Linked DNA regions of Danio rerio. The protein of the gene in region 1 interacts with the protein of each later gene in a pairwise test. Links are inferred from orthologs where the notes say so. Each region holds a gene or a part of one and is shown on either strand. Other genes may lie near its edges.

Region 1 (4,330 bases):
AAAATTAATATGTTTTCAGATGCTTTTTTACTGGCGATGTTGTGACGCAGTGGGTAGCACGATTGCCACACAGCAAGAAGGTCGCTGGTTCGAACCTTGGCAATTCTGTGTGTGCTCCGGTTTCCTCCACAGTCCAAAGACATGCAGTACAGGTGAATTGGGTAAGCTAAATTGTCCATAGTGTATGCGTGTGAATGAGTGAGTATGGATATTTCCCAATGATGGGTTGCAGCTGGAACGGCATTCGCTGTGTAAAACATATGCTGGCGACCCCTGATTAATAAAGGGACTAAGCCTAAGAAAGGGAAACGAATGAATGAATGAATGAATTTTTTTTTTTTATTGTAGAACTACTGACAGGATTTGTAGTCATACTAATACCCAAGTCATGCTAACAATGTCTGATTATGTGTTATGGTGTTTTCTGCTCTGAAAATGCTAAACAGGACCCATTGGGGATTATTAATTAACTTTTTTACTGATGCTTGAAACACTATTTGTCTTTAAAAAGATTTCATTCAAAAATTAACATTTGATTTATCTTAAATGTTTCTAAATTATTAATCTGCCTGAGTTTCTTTTTTTTTTGTTGAATATAAAAAGAAGAAACTTTGAAGTATGTTGGAAACACAGTAACCATTGATTATCATTCAAATGCAAAACCATTTGTTTTCCCAACTATGGAAGTCACAGGTTACCAACATATTCTCATTATCTTTCCATCTTTTGTGTTTAACAGAATACATTTAATCAAACTTGTGAGAAGTGAAGGAAAGAAAATTAAAATATTTTTCTCTTCTGGAGAAGATCTTATTTTATTTCAGCAAGAATAAAAGTGTTTTTAATGAAACATTTTAAGGTCAATATTATTATCCCCCTTACGCAATATTTATTTTATTGTCTACTTTCTTAATTAACCTAGTTAAGCCTTAAAATGTCACTTTAAGATGAATACTAGTGTCTTGAAAAATATCTAGTCTAATATTATTTACTGTCATCATGGCAAAGATAAAATAAATCAGTTATTAAAAATAAGTTATTAAAACTATTGTTTAGAAATGTGTTGAAAAAAATCTTTCCGTTAAACAAAAATTGGGGAAGAAAAATAAAATAATTAGGATTGAACAGGAGTGCTAATAATCCTGAATTCAAATGTGTGTACTGTACACGCACGCACACATATATAATTTGTTGTTCAACAGCTCCCTCCTATGGCCATCAATAATTATACCACAAACGTATCAGCGACTGACAACACTTTCCACCAATGAAAAGAAAGATCGTCACCGCCAACGACGAATCTAAACCAATAGGAACCGCCCGATCTGAAAATAGGCGGACCGTCAGCCATTTGCGTCCACGAACGTTCTCTTTGGAAGAGAAGTCGATTCCAGAAGCCATTACGCTGCGCAATAGTGTTGGGACAAAAACGTACTATTTTTACGTATTCTACGCAATTTCCCCCCCTCTCCATCCGTCAAATTTACAACGTTATGGCATCTCAGGCCAAAAAGAGAAAAACGAACTTCTCCGAGAGGGAGGTGGAGATCATCGTGGAGGAGATGGAAAAGCAGAAGCATATTTTGGTGAATCACTTTAACGCGGGCGTCACGCACATCGCCAAAAACAGCGCGTGGATGGAGATCCTGAAGCGCGTGAACGCCGTGAGCACCTGCCAGCGCGAGCTCGCCGAAGTCAAGAAGAAATGGTCGGATCTGAAGACGGAGGTGCGGCGGAAAGTGGCGCAGGCTCGAGCCGCCATGGAGGGCACGGGCGACTGCACCACCGTGCCGGTGATCCTGACCTCCATGCAGCAGCGCATCTGCAATCTGCTGGGCGAAGCGACCATCATCAGCCTCCCGGCGGCGGACGCGGGTACGGAGATCGCGGTGCCTATCAGCTCCGCAGCCGCCGTCACTTTAACGCAAAGTAAGACACTAGCGTTAGCCCTACGCAACTTACCATGCGGAAACTGAGCGCGCTAATGCGTTTCTTACTTAGAGACTTTGTCTTGTTTGTAGTCCAAAATATCTAAACATAATTAAATCAACAGGCATTTTCTAGACAAAGTAAATGAAAAAAAAACAAACATATATAGTTATTTTCAGAAATAAATTACAGTCAAGTTTAGGTATATAGTACATTTCCATATACAATTGTAATTGAAAGTGCTTTAAATAAACAAGACGATTAAAATAAAGAATAATAAAATAAGCACACAAGTATAAGAATTAAAAACGAATAGAAATGAGTTAAAACATGGTTAAAAGGAATAAACAAGAAATAAAGTAAAAATTAAATGAGTTTTTGTTTTAAACAAGGTGTTTTTGTTTTTAATCTGTCATTGGTTTTAGTAAAATAGTCTTGATTTTGGTTTGAAATAAGTACATTTCACTACCCCATTGTCAGATTATTGTGCTTGTTTTTTAGGAAAACATGCAAATTAAACTATATATTTTCACTTGTCAAAAATGCTTCTTGATTGAATATGTTTTTAATTTTTGGACTAGAAACAAGACAAAAACAATAATAAGAAATGTATATATTTTTTTTGCTTGGAACAAACATTTTCTTTATTTGGAAAAACACAATTTATATTTCATGTTTATCACCTTAAATACATTAAGGCAATTCTACTGTACTCAGTTTACCTTTAAAATGTTGTTTACCAACATAAAAACACACTGTAGTAGGCTAAGGCTTAAGCTAAGCAATGTATAGTTATTAATGTTTTTGAGTATTCGAAATACTGAATATATTATACAACACTTCATTATCGAATGCTAGTAGTATCAACTATCTGATAAACTGTCATTTTAATGGAGTCATTTGTTTATATTAGTTGTTGTGTTACCATAGCATTACCAAAACAGATAAGCTCAAGTACTTTACTAATGCATAGCGTGATTCACAAACACCATAGTATTTACTGTAGTATTTTTAATGAGGATACAAAAGCTAATAAGCAGGGTTCACACAGGGTCATGGAAAACATGGAAAAGTCATGGAATTTTGACGTGGCATTTTCCAGGCCTGGAAAAGTTTTGGAAAAACAGAAAAAGTCACGGAAATTACATTCACATTTAGTCGTTTAGCAGACGCTTTTGTCTAAAGCGACTTAAGCTGTGGTCACGTTAGAGCATGTACTTGCGAAATTCTGTCGTATGGCGCTGTGAAAAGGGGCGGGGTTAAACGATATGATTAGACATTAATATAAGTGAGCGATTGCTCCATATTTTAAATGTCTTATTTTAAATGATTTTCTATTGGTCTCATGCAGTCACCTGATGTGATTTCGCAGGTAAGAATTCACCAAGCTTGAACTTTCGAATGCAGTAAAATGCGAAACACGTGCTTGTGTTTCTGCACTGCAAAAAATGCTTTTCTTACTTAGATTTTTTGTCTTGTTTCTAGTCCAAATATCTAAAAATTCCTAAATCAAGAAGAATTTTCTAGACAAGCAAAACATATTGTCTTGTTTTGAGAAATAATATGCCAATATTAAGTGAGTTTTTCCTTAAAACAAGCTAAATAATCTGCCAATGGGGTAAGCAAAATAATCTTACGTCAAAAGAAAAAACAAGATGTATTTGCTCACCCCATTGGCAGATTATTTTGCTTGTTTTAAGGAAAAACTCACTTAATATTGGAATATCCCTGCAGTGGATGGTGTTAGCCTGATGATAAGCGGTGCCTGTTTTTCTTTAAACACGCCTGGAATTCACTCCAAAGAGTTCCAGTTTAGTCTCATCAGACTAAAGACTAGTTTCTTATGGTCTGAGAGTCCTTCAGATGCCTTTCAGGTGTCAAGTGTCTTCCGTCTGGCCACTCTACCATGCAGGCCTGTTTGATGGATTGCTGCACAGATGGTTGTCCTTCTGTAAGGTTCTCCTCTCTCCACATAAGAACGCTGGAGCTCAGACTGAGTGACAATCGGGTTATTGATCACCTCCCTGACTAAGGCACTTCTCCCCCGATCACTCAGCTTAGATGTCCGACCAGCTCTAGGAAGAGTCCTGGTGGTTCCAAACATCTTCCACTTACGGATGAGGGAGGCAGCTGTGCTCACTGGAATTTTCAGAGCAGCAGAAATGTTTCTGTAACCTTCCCCAGCCTTGTGCCTCGAGACAATTCTGTCTCAGAGGTCTAAAGACAATTCCTTTGTCTTCATGCTTGGTTTGTGCTTTGACATGCACTGTCAACCCTGGGAGCTTATATAGACAGTGTATGCCTTATCAAATCATGTCCAATCAGCTGAATTGACCACAGGTGAACTCCAATGAAGCTGCTGAAACATCTCAAGAATGATCAGTGGAAACAGAATGTACCT
Region 2 (3,910 bases), on another chromosome or scaffold:
ATATTTCGGTTCACACATCTGTGTCGATTTTGACAATTACAAATAAATTCGGAAGTTTATTTGTCAGATACAAAGGAGGAAGGGAGAAAGAGATCACGAGAAAGATCAGGGATAATTAACCGCAGCTTCAATGCAGAGCTTAAAATAATGCAGGTGACTTTATTGTGACCACGAGTCTAATATTTAAAAGCAATTACTTGAAATTTTAACTATTTCATAAAAAAAAATTCCCTCCATAATTCGCGCAAATATTTGTTAGGAACGTGAACATTTGAAAACAAAAAAACATCTCACAGCTCAAGGTTTTCATCTGCGTTTGATTATTTGTGGGATGTAATGATCCTATGAGCAACTGGCATTGTTTTTCAAATGCCGAATTTGCGTGGGTATGTTACCAAAGGGTCCATGGGCATGTTCTACACATGTGAGATTACAGCAGCAAAACAGGTGCAAGCCCCAACCCAGCCCGTCCCAGGAGAGCTTTGGACAATTGTTCTCATTTAGGAAATATTAGCCTGGGGGCCACTGCCTCAGACAGCGCGCTTATTTTCACTGATTTTAAAAACCGTTTGTCTTTTTATTTTCCTCTTGTTCAGACATTTCAGTAGCCTGGTGCGTTGTTTTAGTGATTGAGTGAATGATAAGATACATTTTTGTCATGTTTTCTTACCAAAATAAACTGTTAATGAACGGATAGGGGGTAGCTCCAAGGAAGTAATTATAAAGTAATAATAATAATAATAATAATAATAATAATAATAGTAGTAGTAGTAGTAGTAGTTAAATGTGTAATGTATAAAATATGTATTGTTGTTGTTGTTATTGTTGTATTGTAAGCTAAACGTCAGTTTAATCGTCAACATATTTTTCATAAATAAGGCTAAACTTTAAGTGTACACATAAAAGCGTGCTTACTATGTTTAAAATAAGAATTTGTCTTTTCTTCAGGCATCTGTCGTCTCTGAAGGATTGACGCTGGTAGATGTCAGGTTTTATTACAAAAAGGTTGAAGGTCTGTGTTTGTAGACCTTCAACTAAATGGATTTGGGGAGGGAAGAGAGTCACCTCCTTTTCCTCCCCGATCTTTGTTTGTGTTGTAATATACATATTTTGGTAGGTATTATGTGGCTTTCTCAGAGCTGATTGGGCGCTCAGGTTGGCGCGTGAACGCCCTGCGATTATGTCAGATCGCGTGCAGAGCGAACCAGCCCAGCCTTTGAACTTCACCGCTTTTGGCTCTCATTCACGCGCTTCTCCTCATTTCCCAGCCAGGTGCTTCGCGGGGCGAGAATCCTCCGAGAAAAAAAGCGAGCAAACAGATCGCGGAAACTTCGCTTCCCGTGCTGGATTTTGTGGCGCGCGTGGCTGTTCTTCTCTCAGCCGAATAGTGTCGTTTTGAAGAGTCGTCATAATTCAACTAAACGACAAACACGGAAGAATTACTGGATTTTTTTCATCTCTTCTCTCTCATTGATGCCGCTTTCCTGCTCCTCCGGCTCTCTAGAACTGGCATGATCCGAGTCTGTCTGCAGGACAGGTGAATACCATTATCTCTTCGTTGCTTGAAGAACTTTTTTGTTGTTATTTTAGTAGGGAAATTTTAAACGGACGCCGTGAACATGTCAAAACCGGCAGATCACATCAAGAGACCCATGAACGCCTTCATGGTCTGGTCAAGAGGCCAGAGAAGGAAAATGGCTCAAGAGAATCCCAAAATGCACAATTCCGAAATAAGCAAAAGACTCGGCGCCGAGTGGAAGCTGCTGTCTGAATCCGAGAAGCGACCGTACATCGACGAGGCCAAGAGGCTGAGGGCTCAGCACATGAAAGAACACCCAGACTACAAATACAGACCCAGGCGCAAACCCAAGAACCTCCTCAAGAAGGACAGGTACGTGTTTCCTCTGCCCTACCTGGGCGACACGGATCACCTGAAAGGACTTCCGGTCTCAGCCACGGACTCACTCTTAGGTTCTTCGGAAAAAGCCCGTGCGTTCCTGCCACCTACATCTGCCCCTTACTCCTTCCTCGACCCGAGCCAGTTCAGCTCCAGCGCCATTCAGAAGATGACAGAGATGCCCCACACGTTGGCCACCAGCACTTTACCTTACGCATCATCTCTGGGATACCAGAACGGTGCATTCGGGAGCCTGGGTTGCCCCAGCCAGCACACTCACACCCACCCGTCGCCAACAAACCCGGGGTACGTGGTGCCGTGTAACTGCACCGCATGGTCGGCGTCGAGTTTACAGCCGCCTGTTGCCTACATACTCTTCCCAGGTATGACCAAGAGTGGGATTGACCCGTACTCTTCAGCACACGCCGCTGCTATGTGACTCCACCACAAACAAAACAAACAATCTCCTCTTTGAAAACTTGAATACAGCAATGCATGTACATAAGAAGAGAGGAATGATCGAGACATTTATACTACTGAAGCCGGTGGACACGAACTTTTTCACCATCTACGAGAGGTTCCTCGGATCCCAGCATGGATCTTGGAATAGATGTAAGGCAGGTGCCCAGAACTGTAAGAAATGTAAATGTTCAAACGTTTATTATTATGGCTACCGAATTTGGATGCCTTTAATTTTATTTATTATGTACAATTTGATGCTATAATAATGATAATTTTGTTTGAACAGTTAATATAATTGTTATTCTCCTCATATTATTATTATTATTATTTGAAAGACTTTGATTTGCACAACTAACGGTTAGAATTTTTCTTGTACAGCCTGATGTATTTACCATTATTTTTGGCACTCTGAAATTCAAATGAAACTAGGGTTTCAAAGTGAGGAATTCAGCGTTTAATAGAATATACGGGTTATATTGTTTATCATTATAAAAACCGTCACCTAAAATTAGACAGTCTATTTAAAATTTCAAGTGAAAAAAATAATTATAATCTTTTTTTTTTCTTTTTTTTTTGGACATTTCTTTTTCTGTGGTTCAGTGCTAGTCACTCGTTCATTTGATTTCAGAAACTACAAAGTTTGAAGCGAAACAGTTCATGTTGTATTTTTTATCTGCGATGGTAACTTAAATCCTGTCATGTTTATGGAAAGGAAAATGTATCTAAAAAAGGGTGATACCTCGATTCTTTGTTCATTTGCAGAGCAAAGACATTTTGAATAAAGACAATCTGTCTTAAAAATTCATCACCTTTCTCATATTGCCTATTTAAACCAATATTGAATTGTTGTTTACTATGTTGTTGTACGGTCGTGCCAAGAGGCATGTTGGAAATAAGGTGAACCCGAACACGCGTTTAATAGTTTTTATTTATCCAGTTATACCGTGTTTTATTTCTACCTTAAAATCTACAATTTTTCTCGGGCATATAGAAGTATACAGGCCTTGCCTGCTTAGCATAAAACAGATATTTGTCGTACTCTGATTAGATATCTACAATAATTATCTTCTCAATCAGCACCGCTTAAATAATCCAGCGTTTCGGCCGTAGCAGTCTTAATAACCATCTGGCTTTTCGGCATAGATTTGAGATGAACTCTGTCAGCGCGTGGCGTTCCCGAATGCTCTTTAGGGACCCTCTGTCCAAATTAAATGGCAAAACAATTACTGTACAGAGACGCTTAGGGAAACTGAGGGCAAACATGAATTGTGATTTACTCCGAGATCCACAATAGGATGAAAATTGGACTGAAGAAGGGGTGGTGCGCGTATGAGCCATGTCATCCAGTATTACAAAACAATTTAGTATAAAACAATCGAACAAAGCGTCAGGTGCTTCTAAATGTGTGTCGATGCGGCGCCTACAAACGCGCTGTGATACATTGGAAATGACTGCAGATATTGACGCTGTCAGTTTGCATTACTTTCTTTCTTTCTTTCTTTCTTTCTTTATTTCTTTCTTTCTCTTTCTTTCTTTCTTTCTTTCTTCTCA

Evidence for each region.
Region 2: the proteins of naif1 (region 1) and sox14 interact in binary tests that used the Homo sapiens proteins (3 or more experiments, as listed by UniProt). The two-hybrid records come from large-scale screens. The link is inferred for Danio rerio from reciprocal best matches to the Homo sapiens genes NAIF1 and SOX14.

The regions. Positions count from the first base shown.
Region 1 is NC_133183.1:3,871,802-3,876,131, forward strand, and holds the start of naif1 (nuclear apoptosis-inducing factor 1), read left to right. Parts: upstream 1-1,493; coding exon 1,494-1,875; coding exon of another isoform or gene 1,876-1,929; intron 1,930-4,330. UniProt on the Homo sapiens protein: Induces apoptosis.
Region 2 is NC_133181.1:29,053,018-29,056,927, reverse strand, and holds sox14 (transcription factor Sox-14), read left to right. Parts: upstream 1-1,221; 5' UTR 1,222-1,619; coding exon 1,620-2,336; 3' UTR 2,337-3,164; downstream 3,165-3,910. UniProt on the Homo sapiens protein: Acts as a negative regulator of transcription.